Linked DNA regions of Elephas maximus indicus. The protein of the gene in region 1 purifies or fractionates together with the protein of each later gene. This does not show direct contact. Links are inferred from orthologs where the notes say so. Each region holds a gene or a part of one and is shown on either strand. Other genes may lie near its edges. The genes, in order: CXCR4 and TMEM63B.

Evidence for each region.
Region 2: the proteins of CXCR4 (region 1) and TMEM63B purify together in Homo sapiens (co-immunoprecipitation; 3 studies listed by BioGRID and IntAct, with this or other methods). This does not show direct contact. The link is inferred for Elephas maximus indicus from reciprocal best matches to the Homo sapiens genes CXCR4 and TMEM63B.

What each region holds. Positions count from the first base shown.
Region 1 is NC_064824.1:31,281,788-31,285,695, reverse strand, and holds the start of CXCR4 (C-X-C chemokine receptor type 4), read left to right. Parts: upstream 1-915; 5' UTR 916-1,010; coding exon 1,011-1,025; intron 1,026-3,167; coding exon 3,168-3,908.
Region 2 is NC_064819.1:108,669,484-108,673,391, reverse strand, and holds the start of TMEM63B (CSC1-like protein 2), read right to left. Parts: upstream 2,419-3,908; 5' UTR 2,258-2,418; intron 2,012-2,257; exon of another isoform or gene 1,966-2,011; intron 1,731-1,965; 5' UTR 1,677-1,730; intron 1,371-1,676; exon of another isoform or gene 1,068-1,370; intron 542-1,067; exon of another isoform or gene 451-541; intron 1-450. UniProt on the Homo sapiens protein: Mechanosensitive cation channel with low conductance and high activation threshold. Osmosensitive cation channel preferentially activated by hypotonic stress.

The DNA.
Region 1 (3,908 bases):
AGTGGCGCGATGGTTAAGCACTCCGCTGCTGACTGAAAGATTGGAGGTCCCAAACTACCAGCAGCGGGAGAAAAGATCTGGCAACCTATTCCCTTAAAGATTAGCAAAGCCAAACCCAAACCCGTTGACTTCGAGTCGATTCCGACTCATAGCGACCCTGGCTAAGAAACCCTGTGGAGCAGTTTTACAGGGTCACTGTGCGTCGGAATGGACTGGAGGGCACACAACACTGACATTCCTGCCAAGAATACAAATCTATCTCTCCATCACCTTTTCTCTATCTTCAGGATGATGCCAAATCCTACCTTCTTCTGAAAGTATTTCCTGATCGTCTACACCTGACCTTGGTGCTTTTACTGTGAATGTGCACGTAGGTCATATACAGTTGCGTTCCGAAGAAAGGATCTTAATTTACCTTCTCAAAGAGCGCAATCTGATAAAAAGAGCGTGACACGGAGTCATAGGCTCTGGCCCCACTTTCAGCACTGCCACCTACTGGTTGGGTTACTCGGGCAAGTCTACCCCTCTCTGGGCCTCAATGTCTCCATGTGTATAATTCCCAGGTCTGGAATTCCACCTGGGGATTAAGGATGGATGCACCACGCAGGGACGCATCCCTGGTCCGCGCTTCCCACCTCCCTCCAGGCGCATCCCGCTTTCCCAAATTCGAGGACTCCTCTGGACTGCTCTTCCAGCCTGGGAGCCTCGGCCAGAGACCAGCGGAGCGGCACCCGCTTGGAGACTTCCCAGGTCTACTCCTCCAAAGGAGCCTCGGCGCCCACCCCTCCGCCCCTCCCTCGCGTCTGCCCCTCTCCCTCCTCTCCGCCTTCCCTCTCCCTGCCCCGCCCACCCGCCCGCCCGCATGACGCACGCGCAGCCCGCGGAGCCTGTATAAAAGTCCAGCTTTGGCCAGAAACTTCAGTTTGTTGGCTAAGGCAGCAGGTAGCAAAGACAACTCGAGGATTTGGGTTCTCTGGTAGCCACCGCGGCTTGAAGAGCGAGCGGTTACCATGGGCGAGATCAATGTAAGTCCACTTTCAACCTGCTTTTTCTTAAACGTACAAATGCATAAACTTAGAACGCAGCCCTTCTCCGAGCGGGCAGAAGCGATCCGAACACTGGAGATGCCCGTTCTTGGTAGAGGGGGACATGGAAAAGAGTTTTCATGCGTATGGCTGCACAGGAGGGTAGGGTTGGAATCTTTTTCTCTGTAAATAGAGAAGGAAAGATTTGAACGGCAGTTCGGGTGATTGCATGTGTCTCCCCCCTGAGTCCCGCGCGCGCACCGGAGTTGCACGCTGTTTGCAAACATAGGAACATTCTGTGCACGACTGCAGAGAAGGCATGCACGCTCCCTCCGAGACTCAGATGGAAGGTCTCTTCCCGGGGAAGGGGTATTTCTTGGAGCGAGTTACGTTATCTGAAATTAGAGGAGGAGCTCAGTTCTCACAGGGAGACTCTGCCCCTCCGCCTTAACTTTGGGCAAAGGCGCCTGGAAAGCGCTCTGGACGTTGGACGCGTGTTTGCTAAACTGCGTGGTCTGCGGAGGTGTGCCAGTCCTCGGGCATAGTGGCAAGGGGTGGAAAAGGCGAGCGAACCCACCGCGTCGCTTGCCTGAGTGGGGCCAACAGTTGTTAAGTGGCCCACAGCAGCCCGCGCGCCTTGGGGTTGGAGGGGAGACCTGGACAACCGGAGCGCACCCCTTGCCCCCTCCCCCCGGCCGCAGTGTGGGCCCCATGGCACGGGAGTTTGACGTCTTGCCGAGGTCCAAGGGGTATAAACACGTATCGCGTAGCAGCGGCTGGAGGTGTGCGCGGCAGGAGAGGCGGGGGGACGAGGGGGCAGGATTGGGAGGTCACCTGGATTTGCCCGGTCCTCCCCCGCGCAGATTGGCAGGTGCAAGCGCAGAGACCGTTTCACTCCCTGGGAGCTCAACTGCGCCGTTTAACCGTCGGTGGTTTCCTGGAGCCTTTGAAACCCCCTGGCTAGTGAGGCTCTTCATCTCCTCCCGCGGCGCGCAATTCAAAGTTGCTCAGGGCGGAGCTGCCCAATCGCTCCCCAGCACCCTGCAAGACTTAAGTCCGCTGTGCAGCGTTCGGAACCCCTGGAACTGCTGCCCGCCCGCGGTGGGCCTGCGTGTGGTGGGCGGCGGAGGCGGCCCGGAGCTGGACAACTTGGCCCCCCGCGCGCCCACCGCCTGGTGCTTTTCAGCTGCCGACCTCCGACCCCGTTAGCTGGACTGGTGGCGGGGTGGGAAGGGACCTGGGAGAGTAAGGAAATGAAACTTGGGTCGAGGACCACGGGCCCGAACCCCGTGACCTTCCCCACCCAGGGAAATGCCGCGCCTCCTTAACGTCCCAAATGCGCCAAGTGGCAAACACAAGTATAGCAAAGGAGACGCACGTCTCCGAGGCTGGGGAAGAGTACCCAAAAAAAAACCAAACCCGTTGCCGTCGAGTCAACTCTGACTCATAGCGACCCTATAGGGGTGGGGTACCGATTTACTCCCTACTGACGCCCACGCCCAGTACCCCAGCACTCCGGTTGCTTTAAGGCGGCATCCTCCTTCCCCACCACATGTTGCTTGAACTGCAGAATGGTTTGTATATTTAGGTAAGCCTGAGGAAAATTGTATCTTGCTTTAGAATAATTCTGAGTTTTTCGTGCCTTACTTAGGAGAATTCAGAGTACTCCTCCCGCCTCTTTTCTCTCTTCGGAGAATCTTCGTGTAGAACGTTAATCCCAGCTCCGCAGAACAGATTCTGCCCCCACCCTCACGCCGCCTGGGAGTGGCCTCTTTGTTGTGTGCGCGTGTGTGTTGTTTTTTTTTTCTTCCCTGTAGTGGGCAGGGCAGAAGAGTAAGCAAAGATTGCAGCTTTGAAACCTCAGAATCTCACGCCCTTTTGTTCTAAACAAAGAATTTTCTAATTGGTTCTACTAAAGAAGCATGTGATGAGTGACTAGGGGAACGTGGGCGGGGGACCGTAAGCTTCTATCATGCTGCTAGTGTGCCCTTACCGAGTACTTCAGTGGGAGCAGAATTTCCTGAAGGAGGCTGGGCTGAGTTGGGTTTTATAAACTGTTTTTTTTTTTAATCCCAGAAACATTTTTCTAACTTGCCTGGTGAACTTGGAAGTTAAATGGCCTTTCCCTTGCCTCTTTTGCAGTTTTTCACTATGGACAATGAGACGGAGGAGGTGGGCTCAGGTGACTACGACTCCATAAAGGAACCCTGCTTCCGGGAAGAAAATGCCCATTTCAACCGATTCTTTCTGCCTACCATCTACTCCATCATTTTCTTGACTGGCATAGTGGGCAATGGATTGGTCATCCTGGTCATGGGTTACCAGAAGAAACTGAGAAGCATGACGGACAAGTACAGGCTGCACCTGTCAGTGGCGGACCTCCTCTTTGTCCTTACACTTCCTTTCTGGGCCGTTGATGCCGTGGCAGGCTGGTACTTTGGGAAGTTCCTGTGCCAGGCAGTCCACGTCATTTACACGGTCAACCTCTACAGCAGCGTCCTCATCCTGGCGTTCATCAGCCTGGACCGGTACCTAGCCATCGTCCACGCCACCAACAGTCAGAAGCCAAGGAAGCTGTTGGCTGAAAAGGTGGTTTATGTTGGCGTCTGGATACCCGCCCTCCTGCTGACTATCCCGGATTTCATCTTCGCTAACGTCACTGAATCAGAGGAGAAATACATCTGTGACCGTTTCTACCCCAGTGACTTGTGGATGGTCGTGTTCCAATTTCAGCACATCATGGTTGGCCTCATCCTGCCAGGGATCGTCATCCTGTCCTGCTATTGTATTATCATCTCCAAACTGTCACACTCCAAGGGCCACCAGAAGCGCAAGGCCCTCAAGACCACCGTCATTCTCATCCTGGCTTTCTTTGCCTGCTGG
Region 2 (3,908 bases), on another chromosome or scaffold:
TGGTTTTTTTAGGTTTGAGGTGCTCTGTCACTGAGTGGCAGGGAATACTCCCAAACTCTTCAAATATGCCTGATCCATCTGCAGCAGGGTGGGAGGTGGGACATGGCAGGGTGATGCCATGCCAGGATGGGTCAAAAGTTCAGAGAAGAGAACCTGTTATTGATCACTTGTCAGGCAAGGTGCCAGGCTCTTTTCCTGTGTTACCAAGTTTGAACCCCACGATAAACCTTGGAAGAAAGTGGTGGTAACCATACTTTTTAATAAAAACTGAGGCTCAGGCAGGTTTAGTAACTTGTCAAGGTCACACAGCTAATGAATGGTAGAATGGAATTTGAACCCAGGTCTCTAAAATCTGTATAATTGGAGGAAACTTGTACCATGTCCAAAAGGGGGCTTTCAGCTACCCACCACCTGCCTTCTGCTTTGCCACATTTCTACGCACCCACCTACCTACCCACCGGCCAGGATGTGTCTGGTGAGCCAACAGCAGGCCCCAGGATGTGCCACCCAGGGCGTGCCAGAGTCTGGACCTTTTGGTGCCCTGTAAGACAAGTCATGCTGACCTGACACTCTACCTGAAGCCTGGCAGACACTCCCATTCCCCTCCTCACCTGTGTCTGGGAGGCAGGACTGGGGGCCCCTCCTGGAGAGGGGTTGGGTATAGCCTCATTCTTCCTGGGCTGTTGCAGACTCAGGGAGAGGTAGAGAGTGGTGTTGGGTAGGGACAACCCAGCCCCCAGGGTGGTGAAGTGTTCAGGCTTGCCCTGAGCAGCCAGACCTCTGCCCAGGGGACCCAGGCAGGTAGTAGCACAGAGCTCCAAGGGCAGCCGGCCCCTCTGACCTCTTCTCCCCATTTCCCAAGCGCCCTTTCCTTTTCTGGGGGAATAAGAGGCCAAAGCCCTGCGACTGTCCGCCCCCGGCAGTGAAGAAGGCCAGGAAGAACAAAGCGTGGCCCCCTCCCCCCAGCAGGGCCTTTGCCCCACTCCCTGCTCGGCGGCTCAGTCCTTTCCCCACCGCACCCTCCAACGCAGGCCCGAGCGGCTCATGAATGAACTGCACTGTGTGGGGCGCAAGGAGAGGACACGCTCCCGGGGCCCGCCACCTCCCCGGCCTGCCGCCCAGTCCCCAGACCGGCCGCGGGCAGCGGCGGCCTCAAGCCAGCACCCGCGAACCCTGCTCCAACCCCGGGCTGGCTTCGGAGATATTCGGATCCGGGAGCAGGAGAAAAGATAAAAGCGACCGAGGGCATCGTACTCAGCGACCCCAGAATCCAAAACTCGGGGGCGGGGGCAGCTGGTTCCCCACAGCGGCGACGAGCTGGTGGGGCGCAGCTGGAACCCACCGAGGGCGCGCGCACCTAGACTGGGCAGGTAGGAGGAGAGTGGCGCTAGGAGGTCGGGGCCGGGGGTCCCACCCCTTGGGATCTCCAGGGAGGTGGGGACAGAAGGCGGCGCACATCTGGACACTCGGCAGGGTCTGAGGACTCACATCTGGATCGGGATGGTGCGGGGTTGGGGACAGCGCGCGCCACCGCTGGGTCCCGCGGGCCCGGGTACCTCCGGGTCCCGCAGGAGGTTGAAGGGAGGGGACGCGTAGCTGAGTCCAGCTCTTTTCTTTGGGTGGTGGGGGGATCCTCAAAGAAAAGAGAGGGGGCTGGGGAGGGGTCGCGTACTCACCCCCAGGCGCAGACTCGGCTCCGGCTCCGAGCCCCGGGTTGGGGCGGGGCGGGGCTGGGGGAGGGGGAGGGGGAGTCGCTGGGCGGCTGGAGCTCCGGGCTCCTGCGGCGGCCGCGGCAGTGTATGGGGGAGGGGGAGCGGGAGGAGGGAGGGGAGCAGGGGGCGGGGCCCCGCAGGTCCCGCCCCCCACGCCAGCACACGCAGGGCGCGCGCACTCTCAGATCACCGCCCCCGCCGGGCCCGGCGCGCAGGCGCAGGGGAGGGGCCACGCGGGGGAGGGGAGGGCGGGGCTTGGCCGGGGTCCCGAGACGGGGTTTTCCCGGGCGGCGAGAGCGGTATGGCGGGGCCGTCACGTTCCTAACTCTTCTTCCCCCATCTCCTTCTTCTCTGCTGTAGGGGAGGCTCAGTTCTCAGGGGTGGGTAAGGGGAGGCCGCAGCAGAAGGGTCGTGGGCCGTTTGGGGTCGAAGTGCCAGTGGAAGGGGTCCTGGGGAGCGCGGGCCTGACCCGGACGCTCCTCATCTCGACCCCGTGGGCGCCGGTGGTCCCCGCGGCCTCTGCGTCCCCCGCGGCCCGCGCTCACCTGCCTTCCCAGGAGTGGGGCCGGCCTGGGGAAAGGTGGGCTGCGCTCGGGCCTTGGCGAGCCGCTTTAGTCCCTGAACTAGGCCGGCCACGCCGGCGCGTCTCCTCGAGTGTCTCCTTCCCTCCTCAGGATTTGGGGCTTGAAGTGGCTTTGACTCGTTTGCCAGGCGCTTCTGTGCAGTGGGACGTGAGCGAGTTTCCTGGTTTCGCGTCAATCAGGCCGATGAGCGGCTCCCCGGATCCAGGGGGTTTCCTGGTTTCTCATTTCACCAGAGGCTGGATCTGCCAACGACGAAGGCTGAGAAGATGAACACCGCGCTGAGAGATGTGTGCATACTCTGTCTATAGCTCACCCACACAAATCACAAAGGCATGAGGAGCACCAACCTGTTCATTTCACTTGGGCTTCCTGAAAGGCATTCTTTTCATTAAGCTTGAGGGGAGGTGGTTTGGGCATGTAAAGGAAGTATTGCTTTCCACCGTGGGCAGTGAATCAACTTTGTCACCGTGAGAGATTGAATGGATTGAATTTATAGAGATTTAAAAAGGCATACGACAGATTCTCCCTGGGTTACCTGGGAAAAGCGGGGAGTTTAGGAGATACTTAAACCTAGGTTGCTGGTGATGGTGGGGAGCTGGCTAGCTGTGGCTGCCAGACATAGGAGGGAGACAGCCTACCTGGGAGTGTCTGCTGTGATTGGTCAGCGTCTTTGCTGTCCACTGGCTTTTTTTTCCCACCGCGATGATGATAGTGTTTACAAGCTGATCTCTTATTTTGATGAACGGTGACCACCAAGAGTGGCTTCAGTTCCAAGTTCAGAGGATATCTTAGGGCGATAGTTTTGGAGGTTCCTGTAATCACAATCAGTCCAGTAAGTCTGACCTTTTTTAGGAATTTGAGTTTTGTTCCTACAATTTTCCTCCCATTCTAACCTGGACCTTGTATTGTGTCCCGGGTCAGAACAGTTGTTAGTGGTAGCCAGGCACCATCTAGTTCTTGTCTCAGCCTAGAGGAGGCTGTGGTTCGTGTGGGCAGTTGGTGCTGTGGACTAATTGCTTCCTTGAGTCTTTGGTTTCCTTCACTCTCCTTTGCTGCAGAGGGGAGAGACCCATAGTTGTATCTTAGATGGCTGCTTGCAAACTTTTAAGACCGCAGATGCTACTCACCAACCTAGGATGTAGAGCATTATCTTTCTGAGCTGTGTTAGGCCAGTTGATGTCCACTGGCTTTTTAAAGAGTTCATTAATAGCTTGTGGGATGCAACTGTAGGGTTCAGTTTATGGCAGTGTATTTCAAACTGTGAGTCATATTAGTGAGGTGGAAATCAGTTTAGTGGATCACAACTATCATTTTAAAAATAATGAAATAGAATAGAAAATGTCAAGAGTGCATTGCATTTGGTAAATATTGTTCCTTGACACTAACTTGTTTCAGGTATTCATGTATGAATATATTTAGCAAGTGTTGTGCAAAATGTTTCTGTACATCACAGAGAAGTTTGAAAAGCATTGGTCTTCTGTATGCTTTTATTAGCCCTCTTGCCTTCCTTAGCCTGAGTTTTCAGTCAGTTAAAATCGTCCGTTAGAATTCAGTTAGCAGACTAGGAACATATGGTCAAGTGTGGGTCTCATTCTTCAGAAAGGTTACTTAC